Bombyx mori: one gene and its partner. The protein of the gene in region 1 interacts with the protein of each later gene in a pairwise test. Links are inferred from orthologs where the notes say so. Each region holds a gene or a part of one and is shown on either strand. Other genes may lie near its edges.

Evidence for each region. The genes of interacting proteins can lie anywhere in the genome.
Region 2: the proteins of E3 ubiquitin-protein ligase AMFR (region 1) and Ubc13 interact in a two-hybrid assay, tested with the Homo sapiens proteins (2 studies listed by BioGRID and IntAct). The link is inferred for Bombyx mori from reciprocal best matches to the Homo sapiens genes AMFR and UBE2N.

What each region holds. Positions count from the first base shown.
Region 1 is NC_085125.1:14,670,760-14,677,571, forward strand, and holds part of E3 ubiquitin-protein ligase AMFR, read right to left. Parts: intron 3,872-6,812; coding exon 3,761-3,871; intron 2,853-3,760; coding exon 2,728-2,852; intron 2,248-2,727; coding exon 2,038-2,247; intron 1,791-2,037; coding exon 1,682-1,790; intron 1,151-1,681; coding exon 1,003-1,150; 3' UTR 1-1,002. UniProt on the Homo sapiens protein: E3 ubiquitin-protein ligase that mediates the polyubiquitination of lysine and cysteine residues on target proteins, such as CD3D, CYP3A4, CFTR, INSIG1, SOAT2/ACAT2 and APOB for proteasomal degradation.
Region 2 is NC_085111.1:2,341,749-2,349,544, reverse strand, and holds Ubc13 (ubiquitin conjugating enzyme E2), read right to left. Parts: upstream 4,853-7,796; 5' UTR 4,627-4,852; coding exon 4,171-4,626; 3' UTR 3,491-4,170; downstream 1-3,490. UniProt on the Homo sapiens protein: The UBE2V1-UBE2N and UBE2V2-UBE2N heterodimers catalyze the synthesis of non-canonical 'Lys-63'-linked polyubiquitin chains. This type of polyubiquitination does not lead to protein degradation by the proteasome.

The sequences.
Region 1 (6,812 bases):
CAGTGTTCTGAAGCGGCCGGAACAGATACGGGAAACAACATCTTACATAACCACTAAGTACAAACTTTACGTTGCTTCGTCCCGGTACTGAACTCGCATTATTTCTTAAAATATATTTAAATTTACTTCTAAAAACAATTCATTTTAAAATTAATCTGGATACAAAGCATAACGAGAGTTATTAGGTACAGAAAGCGTTTAAATTTTACGTAAAAATATTGTAGTGCTATAAAGTGCAGAAATATTGAAAAACCAAATTAAGACAATATTTTAATATTTTTTTGAAAATTGCACAGGAAAACTGGACAAATTAATAATAATTGAAAACTGGATCAAACACAGGTGGTAACGTATTGGTAACGGGCGTGTATGAATATCGCGCAGCACTCCATACAACTCGAGGCGCTACAACAAGTCCAATCGGTACTGTCGCGACGTGTCGGCGCCGGACAGTCGACGACACAAGTTTACTTTACACAAATATTAAATGAGTACGTACTTTTCTGCATTCGTAGTCGTTTAAAACGTCTTCTGATTGCTCTACCATTTTATTTTATTAAATTTCATATATTTTTATATTCCTTTTATATTTAAATGTTTTAACGCTACTACAACAGTGATCATTATCTCCTTCAAAAATCTCGCATGTCACAAAAACGTCATATGCTAATTTAACTTTTTATGATACTCCTAACATTGCGCGTCAGCGTTCAAGTTATAAATTGAATCATTACTTAATTAAAGTTGCCGATTTTTTTTAAATTTCAATTTGTACATAAATGTTGCCAATATTGAAATATTACTTTTTCGAAACAGCGAGGACGGTTGAAATTTAATTTGCTTACTGACTCTACGGTAAATTTTCACACGAGACAGTAGATATACTAATCGACATACAAAAATACATTCGGAAGGGCGCTAGTGCAGGTGCACCGGACACGACCGCTGGGCACGCGAGCGCGCATTGTACTGGGGGCCGGGGGGTTGGGGCGGGGGGGCGAGTCAGCTGCGTGGTGGCGCCGCCTCGCCGCGCCGCTCGAGGTACCGCCTGCGCGCCGCCGCCACCAGCATCTCCTTCCTGCGTCTCAGGTTCTGTTCTCGTTCGGGCGCGTTTCTCGAGAATATAGCGCTGGTCGACCCGACGTCTAGACTGGAATCCGAACGTTATTATTTGACGACCTCCACTTTTCGTGAAGTAATAAATTAGTAAGTCTGCCTATTTTGTACCATTGGCACGAAGTTCCTTAGTGAAGATTGGGGTAGGATTCACTGAAATTATCATGTAACGAAAAAACACCAAACCTTTGGTTCTTGACTTAATCATAAACAAAAGCGACCTTTTAAATTCGGGTGCAGTTAGCGATGCATATTTAGTTGACTTCGGCTACACTGAAGTTATTTTCATTTTTATATTATTTTTAATTTGCTTAACTTTAGTGGATATAAATTTTCTATTAAATTCATTTATTATCGAAAATAATATGTGTTTTGTTTTCTTTTGTTTTAATCGTCTCAACGAAAACAAATGAAGAGCAAATAGTAGTTGTGCGCGTTCTGGCTGTTCGAGGCACAGGATGTCTTACACTGTCTCCATCTACATACATATATACATACATATACAGTAAGCGGTGTTTGTATATACGCCGCGTGTGTAGGAAACATAACTAGACGCATTACGTACTTGTCCAGGCCGGGCTCCGCGGCGGGGGGCGCAGGCTCCGGAGCGGGGGGCGCGGGCTCCGGGGCGGGGGGCGCCTCGAGGGGCGAGATCGGTCTTACTGTCGGTGCTTCTGTTCAATTCATTGCCATTTATTATTTAGTAACATTCAACTACAGGTGGTAGAGCGTCTTGCAAGCCTTCAAGGGTATGTATCACCGCCTTGGCGACAAGTCATGTCTTATTTTAATTTTCATTCTTATTTTTTATGAATAATGATAATATGGAGTGAAATGAAATGAAGATAATTAATTTGAGACATTAATCAACTGGGATGAAATTAAATGAAATGAGATGAAATATAATGTATGGGTTGGTACCTGCGGGCGGCTGCAGCCTGCCCTCGAGGATGTTGTCGAGCGTGAGGTGCGCGGAGCGGGTGAGCAGCAGGTCGGCGCGCAGGGCGGCGGGGTCAGCCTGCGGGAACATGCCCAGCACCTGCGCCACCATGGCGTCCAGCTGCGCGGCGGAGGGCCGGGCGCGGGTCACCTCCACGGAGAAGCTGGGCAGCCACGACACGTAGCGGGAGCCTGCAACACGTCATGCTCCACCAGTAACACTACCTACTGTTCAGTTACAGTTTTGACACATCTATGGAAGAGGAGCGATCAGTCAACTTTGCACAAAGCAACAAAAACTTGCAACGGAATGGAAACGTGGAATGCTCCATAAGTCGCTGACAGCACGCGGCGCCGCACAGTGTGCGTGCCGGCGCCGCACAGGGCACGGATTCTTTTCGTCCCAGTAGGCAATCGTTGAATTTATATAATACTGACACACGACAGATTGTATCTAAGTTTAAGTCATGACTGGCGACCCGCGCCGGCTTCGCTCGGGTCGATCAGGAGTCAGTTGAAACTACACTACAGTTAATAAAGCTTTGTATTACTTTTAATATCATTTGTAAATTTATTATTTGAAACAAGAAACAAGTTTGTACTGTTTGTCCCTACAGCCGTTCATTCCCTAGTCTACCTTCACGGGGATGAAATGTCCAGAAACTGTCGTACCGTCGAAGTGGAAGAGGTGGTTGTGCGGCGGGGTTGGGGGCGGGGGCGGGGGCGCGCCGTGTGCGAGGCCGCGGCGGCACGTGGGGCACGACGCGTCCTGCTGCACCCACTGGCATAGGCACGAGCTGCGCACAACACACCGCACTCACTCTACCGTCACTTTATCCTCATGCAATTTAAAACCCGACCATACATCTTAATATATATAAATTACGTGTCACGTTGTTTGTCCGCGATGGACGCCTAAACTACTGAACCGATTTTAACCTTTTTTTTTAAATATGTTTTTTTCAACTTAGACCACATGATGGTTTTTATTTCGATTTATGGTTGTGATATTTATTAATTAACAACAAAATGATTTCTGACGTGACGCCTTAAGTCAGTTTTTACAGACAGTTATAATACTGTCTGACATTAATATCTCATAGATGGCGCTGTGTTAAAAATACCAACGTTTCACATAAGCTACAATGTAACGGCATAAACACCACGTGTTGCTGAGGCTGATGAGATAAGTGAAATTTATTTCGTAGTAAACAGAATACAGTGAGAACCAATTGTTCTTACTTTGTTAATTTTGGGTATTAGCCGGCCACGTGTTATTTAGAAACAAAAACATTAGCCACAGCAACGTGTGGCCGGGTCTGCTAGTTAGAAATAAATTAAGAAACAGAGAAGGCTCTCCGCGGCAAAGGTTGATGCTCGCTCTCTTCTCGTCCCACCTATTTACTACAACATTACTGTGTCCCCTCTCTCCTCCCTGGTGAATTGCAGGAAGATGCATCATGGATGGATTTTTAGTAATATCATATATGGTACATGTATTTCGAAAAAAGTTGAAAAAACCGAAACTTCACAAGGATATTTATGTTCCAGAAAATAATGATTCCTTCGTTCTTCCAATATTTAGATTGTACTCACAGCAACTTACGAGCGCAATAGAATACCTTATTGCACCCGTGACCCGGTTCCGCAGGAGACGACCTCAATTACCGATATACCCCAGCTATTTGTCAACAAAATGACATACTTGTGGAAGAGATGAGAACAGGGCAGTTTCCTAGCTTCCTTCATCGGTTCCCAGCAGATTGCACAATTGTCTTGATTCTTTTCAACCTCCTCTTTGCTTGCCATTGGGTAACTGGAAAGAAAGGTTCATTTAAACCATATTTGTGAGTGTTCTGCCGCAGAATTGGACCCTCAGATCAGCCCTAGCAGCATTTTGAAAATTGAGTCGCGGAATAATCTAATCACCAGGAGTCCACAGAAGGACATAAGCTACCAACATTAGGACAAGCAGCTCGTATACAACCGGTCATCTTTGTTGAGAATGGGATCCGAATGGCGTCCGGTTAACTGCATCTAATACCAGTCACGGAGCAGCCAGAATAGCCCCTTGAGGCTACTCGCAGATAGGTAGATATACAAACGGTACCATTATCACATCATTCATGGTGACTATTAGGTATAAAAACCGCAAGCGATATCGTGCATATCATCATTAGCTCGCCGAAACTATTATAGTTATATATATATCTTTAGTATTACATCTATACTAATATTATAAAGAGGAAAGATTTGTTTGTTTGTTTCGAATAGGCTCCGAAACTACTGGACCGATTTGAAAAATTCTTTTTCCATTAGAAGCCGACATTGTCCCTGATGAACATAGGCTACTTTTTTTAATTTTTATTTTATTTTATTTTTTTGGTTTCATGTGTGTTTTAATTTTTCCGAAGCGAAGCGAGGGCGGGTCGCTAGTAACTATATATACTAGTGGCCGCCATGTAGTCGAAATTCAACTATAATTATTGATTTAAATTATAAGTTTCAACATTTTTATGATTCTATTGTCAAAGACTTCTATAATCACAGATTTCGCCAAGACTATACTATAGATAAATAATATTAAAAACAAACAATATTAATCTATTCTCAATTTGACCACAGACTTTAACAGTAAACAAAAGAGTATATATGCGTGTGTGTGTCAAATACATGGTGTTGTGTGTCATGTTTTTTTTTATTGATTCAATGTATTTTTTATGCACAATAAAAAAAATAGTATTCTGCACTCCTCTATATTCTCTATAAGTGTAGGTAATATCATACTCCTCCGTCCGTGCAAGTTTCGTAAAAAGGGGTACACATTTTTGCTACCCGTATTAATATATAGATATAATAAAAGAAACAAACTCATATGATCTGAAAGGCTATTTCGTGTTGACGTGAAGAACATTACACGCAGCACGTGACTTCTCCCTGCTATGCTATCTTCAAATTGACCAATAAAAAAATAGTTAATAGATAAACTCACAATCAATGATATTTATGATACTATTTATTGAATCGAGAATTTCCTTTTACCAACTTGAGATGCATTATTGTAAAAACCGTGATGACGTCACAGTACCGACAGCATAACAAACGAATAAAACAATAGAAATAAAAAAAATGTATTAGTCACAACACGATTTATTATTGCATTGTTATAATGTTTAAAACTCATTGCTTAAAGATTGTTTCATTATATGAGATATGCATAATTGGCTACATTTTTTACAGCCTTCATTGTTTGTGAATTCCTCAGCGCGCGTTCAAAATTAACATAAGCAATATAACCGAAGCTTACTCTATATAAAAAATGAGTATATGCGATACATCTTGTGCAGATCTGTACACCAGTGAGAAGATTATTCCTCAGAGTCGCCTTGCAAAAGCTCTGGCAAACTATACACTGGGTGTTAGGAGACCGCTTCCGAAAACGAAGACAGACAATAGTACTAATGACACCAATGATGATGAGACGGAAAAAAATTGATCATGATCGGAAAAAAAATCATATTTTTAAAACGTTTTATTAGCGTTATTTAAGCTCCATCATGTTAGTGCAGCTAAATGAAACGACAGTTTCATAAAAAATACATTACTTTACCAAAAAAACAACAACATTGAAACAATAAATCAAAAACTAAACTAAAAAATCAAAAATTTTTTAAATGTTTTTTCCCTTCCCGTCATCAAAGGTGTCATTAGTACTATCGCCTGTTTTCGTTTTCAGAAGAGGTCTACTAACAACCTAAAGTGGCCTAAAGGAAAGACGTCCGGTGCATTCGTGTGTAGCGATGCACCGGTGTTCGAATCTCAGGCGGGTACCAATTTTTCTAATGAAATACGTACTCAACAAATGTTCGCGATTGACTTCCACGGTGAAGGAATAACATCGTGTAATAAAAAACAAACCCGCATAATTATAATTTGCGTAATTACTGGTGGTAGAACCTCTTCTGAGTGCGCGCGGGTATTTGTATTTGTATTTGCCCTGCCTATTTGTATTTGTATTGGCCCTACCTATTTCTGCCGTGAAGCAGTAATGCGTTTCAGTTTGAAGGGCAGGGCAGCCGTTGTAACTATACTGAGATCTTAGAACGTATATCTCAAACTGCGTGGCGCATTTACGTTGTAGATGTCTATGGGCTCCAGTAACCACTTAACACCAGATGGGCTGTGAGCTCATCCACTCATCTAAGCAATAAAAAAAAACCCAGTATAAAAAGATAAATAGAGAAGGTCATTAAATAGCGGCCTCCCTTCCCTTATTGTCCTATTCAGCTGCACATTGTACTAGCTGACTGCACATGGCGCCTCTCACTCAGTCGAGTGGGTGCTGCTGATCTATTGGAGACCTAACTCGGGCTCACACAACAGTGCTGCTTGTTTCTTCTATCTGTGACTAGAATAATGTTCATTTCAATACGATGCAAGCTTATCTCCTGAGACACCGTGAGCTCATCTGCTATCTAATTTAACAACGCTTCAAGCCCGGGGGTCACGCGAGTTCTCACGTGACCTCCGGGACACGGTCTCGCCGGTGCGCACATCACTACTCAGAAGGAAAACCAACAAAATAATCAATACAATAACAAAATCAATAAGCACTTGTATTAGGTCACGTATAAAGAGTTAATGTTGTCACATTAATTGCTTAGTGATTATAGCACTAATAGCTTGAACCATAAAGTCTATAAGTATCGATATCGCTTACAAAATGTAATGACACGCGTTCGTTCATTACAATATGC
Region 2 (7,796 bases), on another chromosome or scaffold:
TAATTGAAGTGGGTACTTGTTTTATTTTTGAGTAGGTATCATTGTCTTATTGATTTGAACATGTATTATAAGCCGCAAGGGTAGGTACTATCGTCCTTCCTATTTTTGCCACGAAGTGGTCATTTATGTGTTACGTTTTGAAGTGGGACCCCCACACAATATTTCGACCTCGTCTCAAGGCTGCGGCGGCTTTTCTTGTCTATGAGCTCCAGTAACCACCACAAAACGGTCGCGCATCTACTTATAAAGGAAATGTTTATAATAGAAAGTAGATAAATATTCTTTCCGAACTGCGAGTTTTTCCTCAGTATAATATAGTCTGACTTTGTTTAGAATAGGGTTGGTAGTGTAGAGACAGTTCCCAAAAACAATATTGTAGATTTGGAAAGTTCATTTATTATTATGTTACATTGCCTGGGATATGTTGTACACGCTTCAGTACCTTTATTTTCTGATAGTTGCTTACCACGGTTACTCCTAATGAATAAAAATAATTTGTCTACATTTTTGTTTCGGGTTTTATAGATAGGTATTTATTTAGGCATGAAATCTTAAAGTTAGGACTGAATGCGAGAGAACTTAACGTCTAATCTTTAAATAGATTATCAGTATGCATTAGTAATTTACAACAAATAGCTTTGTTTTCAACATGTCAAAGATAAAAACGACCGCCAACATTAAAACCTACACCAATGTCAGGTCGTTATCTGACAATCACCTTTGCAAGATCTTTATTGATTTTTCTATATATATATATTTCTATATATATTTCTCTTTTCTTTGAAAATACCAGCCCAACTTCCGTTTCATTTGATGAGGGAAACTAATTGTTTAATCTGTGGATTATTTGAGATAAATACCGTTACCCTTTTTATGATCGCATTGCGCCAATCACCGCAAGCTGTGTTCATCACTGCGTTAAAAACTGCGCTGATCACTGCGTTATTACACATCTATTCACTTATAAAGTGTAGGCATTAAAAGGGTTGGCGCTATGCTATGCCCTTATTCAAACATCAAATTAAGCAGGCAGGTATCAATGCGTACTCAAAACGTTTTAAAGATAAATTCCACGATTGAAGGATAATGTTTTATACCAAAGTATATTCTGGTAGCTATTCAACATCAGTTGGCCCAAAATTTATGCACACATCTAATTGCAAAACCACAAACCTATTGTATCTAAATCCGGTCGTATTTTGTTAAGTAAAGATTGTATTTACTTCGAAATTTCAAGGTTCACGAAGATTAAAGTTTTCTTATTAGAATGCAATTTATAAGTACACTAACAGTACAATGTATCTGGTCGATGACATCAAGAGCTACGATCTGAAATCAGCACAATGAGCGAAGACGCGAATTTCAAAATAGGGACTTTGTTTCCCAGTAAAGAGAAATCATTGTAATTTATAACCCACAATCTAATGTACCTAGTTCATTATAAAATGGGCTACTTTCTAATATTTATTTTGATTATTAAGTTAGTAGATGAAGGCAATGTTTACATTAAGGTGACCTGGGAACTCATCTGCCTCCGCTAATAATTAAAAAGGTGACTATATTTCGGTGCAACCATCCACTATATCTCAGACAAGAATTAGAGAAGCTCTTAATTGTGGGTCGCATAGAGAGCAAGTGCGCCGTGGGCAGAACACCAGCCAAACGGTCAGATCTAGTAAGAGAAGCACTTGGTGGTAGTCTGTACCATGTGGTCCATGCCACCCATGATCGAACATAGTGGAAGAACGTCACATGTGGTCGCGATCCTCAGCAGTTATGGAACGATATAGAAGAAGAAGATCCACTATACTACCATTTGACAATATATTTATTTTGGTATTGAATTTCTTTCGTTCTAAAAGCTTATGATGCATTTTTTTTATCCAGTTATATTTTATTTTATTTTTTTGTTGTTTTTTCTCCTTAAAAGCAATGATATCAAAAAATTGAAGCGAAAACATCAATGAGGAAAACATTTCATTAATATGGCACATGAAAAGTATTATCTATTTTTATAGTCTGGGAAATCCATATGATGCTATATCAAAAGCATTATGGAACATAATAATAAAATAGGTATATTAATATTATATAATATATTAACAATATTAATTCATGCTTGTGTGATTTAGTATTTCCTGTCCTTCTGTCCGACAGTCCTACGAGCACATCTTGAAATGGTGGTGACAGGAATTAAGACATATTGTTATAGATTTAAAGTACTTGGCTATATCTGTAAGTTGCTTTTCTCAGTTTTGACTATATATGCAAAATGAGTTCTTCAAGTAGCTGTACTGGCAGGAGAGAAAATTCTCAGTCGTCATCCAAAATAACTCCCTGAAGTGCTAATGTGAACTGATATAGGGTCAATACAATCTGCATCACAAGGAAACCACTCAAAATCCCACAGCAATATTAGAGGACATCTTACCTGCTAAGTCAAAGATAATCTTAATATGACTTATAGTTCAATCATATTATTATCAATGTTACGGACACTACAATTTTTGTGATCACAATTCAACACACACCACCATGGCATTAAATCGTAAAATTAGTTTTAATTATGTCAATGACTGAGAACTGAAGAATTTATCAACCGTAAGCTCCCAATACCTCCCAGCTCACATTTTTACTGAAATTGTTTTTTGCACCATCTGTTAGCTTTTTATCTTAATGTTAGAAGTGGCTACTTTTCTTTGTATTTTTCTATGATATTATAAAAAAAAAAAAACTTTTTAAGAACTCACACCAAGAAGAAATAACATCTACCTGATTTTTTTGCCAATATTTTTTTATGGAAATACCTTCTAATTTACTTACAGCTCTAAATGTGAATGTGATTTGAATATTTTCTTCTTAACAATATAAAACTACAGTACAAATAATAAACTTTGATTTTGGTTCATAAATACCATCTATATTTTGTTATTATAAAATTTGAGTTATTATGGTCTAAAGCACTTATGAGCTATTGGTGGCTTACGACCAATATGTCATCACGGTTGCTTAATTCAATATGAAACAATCATTCAATCAACATTTCTGATATTACATTTTCGTTAAGTTGCAATGACAACTGTTCAGTTAACTTGTGTCTTTACTTAAATTTCAATGAACTAACAAACCTATACCCACTGACTGATCAATGGATAAGCACTTTATTTCTAGTTGAAATTCAGAGGTGTAGAGGTGAATTCAAAAAGATGTTAATTTTTCAAAGTTTGTTTTGTAACTGTTGTTGATAGATTCTTTAAACGTAATGACAACCATCATGCCTATTGATGCCATAAAGCAATCACCCTTTACTTAGAAGAGTTTGATAGCCATTGGTCCAATGTATTCAATATTATAAGAGCATGTTGCAAGGTATCAACGCGATTCCAGTAAATGCTTTTAATTTGTAAATTGCTACTTGAGTTTGGCCCTTATTTTAATTTAATGAATCCTATTTTGTGATGGTATTGCACTAAAAATAAAATATGGGTTAGCTTTTTGTATTTCATGTATTTTGAAGTTGCTCACGAAGCCAAATTAAAAATTTACATAAATACAATTTATTTTGATAATTTTTATACAAGACGTAAATAGTACAACATAAGATTCACTGTGAAATCATGTTCGATGTGGTTAATAAAGTGAAAATTATACCTAAATGCAATCATTGTTCTATAAAAAAAAAAACAAAAAACATTTCAATGAGAGATCAGTTAAATGATGTTACAATCAAATTTTAGTAAGACTGTGTCCGATAAGTCTCTGGCATAGATAATCAAACTTTGCAAATTGAAACTATCTTCTGTACAAAATTAATTTTAAACCAGCATAATATATACATTGAAGACTCCAGGTATATTTTCTTTATTCACTATTCATATTAATAGTAAAAAAATATGCATACCTAATATTGTAACCAAGCTACATGTGAATGGGTAAACAATGATCTGTGGGATCGCCTAGCCGTTCCGAGGCGAACAAGGTGAGGCAATGGATAACTGCAAAGGGACCGGCGCCGCGGCCCTCATCCACTAATAATAAAAATTTGATCCACAATAGTCTCTCACAAGTTACTCTGTTTAGGATGTGTAACATAACTTGCACTCATAAGTCGTGATATCTCGTTGGTCGTGTGGCGCGCACGGTCGGCACCGGTGCTCTCGTGCCGGCTATTCAGTTGTCCATGGCGTATCTCCGCGTCCACTCCTTCGCGTTCCTAATAGCTTCACTCTCGTTCACCTTCCACAATTCGGCAACGTCGTTCGCCAGCGGATCGTCAGGGTTAGGTGCTGACAGCAGAGCCTGAATAGACAGTAGCACCGTGCGTATTTGTAGAGCTGGACTCCATTTATCTTTAAGAATGTCCAAACAAATGCGGCCCAGTCGGTCTATATTAGGATGATATATTTTCGTGATAAACCTAACCTTAGGTGCCGACATGGGGTAATCCTCCGGTAGAAATAATTCTAATTTGAACAGTCCTCCTTCGAAAGGCGAGTCCTCTGGGCCCGTCACGATAACGTGGAAGTAACGGGCGTTTGTCTCGCTAGGTACTGCGCTGATCCCGGGCACCGGCTCCTGCATCAATCGCTGTGTCTCTTTGATTATTCTACGTGGTAGGGCTGCCATTTTAAATATGCGGTCGAGCGCAGTTTGTCAAATGGAAGCGATTACTCATATAATTGTATAAAATATCTAATTATATTAGCACTGAATGTGTTAACGACGCTTGTTGAGGCACGTTTCCTTATATTAATGAATTACAATAGCATTTTATCTACGAAATTGCAATAAACGCGACTACAAAAGCGAGTGTTCTTTAGTTTTTTTTAACCACAGATAATATAGATTTTCACCAACATAGACAAAATGTAGAATTTAGAATAGGGTGCGTTCAATATAGATGTCTGGAAAAAAGCCTTTTAAATAAACATGCATTAGTTTAAGACAACAAAAACAAATTGTTTATTAAAAGAATAAAATTCTGTACTAGGTTGAGTACCTGGGACTGAATAGGAATCACACAACATTGTTATACAACTTGTGCCGTGTTTGAAGCCTGCTAAAACTAACTTGTCTTGTTATACAGACTTCAATCTATTTAGAAGAAGGCGCAAAAGAGCTTATGAAAAAAAAGGGAAGAATGAAAGATGTCAGTAATAGAAAAATAGTAGAGAGGAAGAACTGTATTCAGCCCTTAATATAAAATCCAAACAGGAAAGCGTGTTTAATTGAAGAGAACCTACATGAAAGTTGTTAAAACTGTTTCGAAAGTTTCGGAACTTGTTTTTTATTATATTTGTGTTTTATATGCTTCTGAATCTTACGTTTCTACCGAGAGTGAATGGCGCACATGATTTTTTAAAAATGAGAGTTACAGGCTGTTCAAAATTTTATGAAACGTATATTTTTTATTCAGCTGACAGAAAATGATAAATGTGAAAAACGTAGGCTCGTAAACAAATTAGTATTTATTATGAACCTATTGTGAAAATGTTATTTTAATGAACAGATCTAAATAAAATCACTTAGGACCGCGGTCAGCGACATCTAATACAGTTTTAAAAATGACGTGATGTCAGCTACTCGTCAACAGATGTCTAATTTTGTTTCATTAAATTTAGAACATCTATGTGTAGAATCTTCAGTATTAAGACAAATTCTCGTTATCAATGACAAATAAGGTTATTATATCATCGATATATTATAGACATATTATATTTAACTTAACTATCTTAATATGGTTGTTTAATATTTATATGACTTAAGTTACAAGGAACACAATAATAGTATGAGTTACCTAAGTGAAAAAGATTAACTTTTTTTTTTTTTTTCCTACCTAAGCTGATAGCCCTAGCGGCTATGTCAGCGTAACCCTAACTTTAGTAGGTGAGCTCACGGGGCTCAAACCTGACGATGTTGCTAACACGAACCCTAGCAAGAGTCGTGCTTCGCAGAATCTACCACCGGATCGGAAACGCGACCCACTGAGAAGATCCGGCGAGAAACTCAGTGGGCTGTGTCTGAGAGTTAGTTTACTCGTCGAGCCCTTCGTCGCAAGCGACGGGTTCGACGAGAACGGTGACCGGTGCTTGAAGTACCTAAAAGCACCGTTAGTGGATCGGGAGGATCCGAAATGACGTGTAAAGATTAACAATAAAGATATACCTAACAACTCAATGTTTAATAAAATTCTTCTTCCTCGGGTTCTAAAATATCTGTATTTCGTAAGGTCTCCAACGTGGGACGACCTATGTAACATTCATGGAAAATATCCGGTATTAAAGGGAGCAGTGAAATAAAATAATTTTTTTTTCTATATGGATATGGGTAATGTCTGTTCATAAATTACCTATAGGAATATTATCAGGAGCATTGGACCCTCTTCTTTTATAGGTAGATAAAGATAGGAAAAGGCGAATCATCTACGGTGTCTTTTTACGAAATGTCAATTAAAAAAATACTAGTTTAAATTTCATACAGCATAACATACATACATTTTAAATCCATCGAGATACAATAGTATTTTCCTTAGTTTTTCGGTTCGTAGAGGTAATTAAAATCACTTTTTCAGTTTATAATATTGTCTTTATATCATTTCTAACGTTTTACAAACTGTAAACAGTTAAATTGTTACAGTAAAAATATGTAATTTCAATTATATCTATCGAGGTAGCTAGTAGACACTAACCTTCCTAGTTGGGTTAAGCGTTGAGTGCGGCACGCGGGATATGTCGGAGTGAACTAATTAAAGCTTCCTTCCACTCAACAAACACGCATTTAAACTTCTGATGATACAGAATTTATCCGCGGTAGGCTGGGAGTAAGGTGACACGACTAATAAAAATTTGAACGAAATATTCCTTAAACTTTCGGATTGTTAGCATTCAGCTAATTTTCCAATCGTCACAGGTGCGTAGCAGATAAGTTCGTCACCTTCCGTACCTTAATCGATGTAGCCATTGTTATAATATTTATTATCAAGGAATTTATCGCCTCTCGGAGGACATTTGATAGTGTCAATCAGCACTAAACGTATTTTACATTAGGTTCACAGCGCTTTCTACCTATGATGGGTATTTAATATCCCTTTGTGTTGCCTGTGTGTTCATTAGTGAACTTTGATATTATTAACTATCTAGGTACCTACACTTGAAGGTACTTTAATAATTGGTGTTCTAGATACTTTAATTTGATAATAATAGAATACGTTTACTTATGTTGTTAATTAACAAGATAATCAATTTAAAATATGTAAATCTTGTTCTCTCAAGGACACCTATATATCCACAGATATATAGCCCACATATGTCCACTGCTGGATATAGGCTTCCCCATGTCTCGCCATCGCCATCACAAATGAGTCCCGCGCTGTCTACATGCAGCCAATCTCCGCTCCTCTATAAAAATAATAACGGAATATACAAACTTCATGTACCGTGACTATGGCACAATTATATGGCAAAAGTTGGATGCTCTAACACAGCAGTGCATTTGGGCAGTGTACATCTTGCGAGATATGCGGACAAAAGGTGGAAATTAGAAACCACACGATAGGAAGGACCAATGGGTAAAAGAAGAAAAGGCTGACAAAGGAACAGCTGGATGGATGAAATAATAGCAACAACAGGAAAAGAATGGAGAAGCAAGGCCAAGAATAGGGAAAAACGGAGTACGCTGGAGGAGGCCTATACACGAAGTGGGGTTCCAATAACACAAGTGCAAAATGTTCGATATTTTTTTTTTAAAAACCTGTTATTTTCGTAAGGCGTTGGAAATAAAATTTGCTTATTATTATT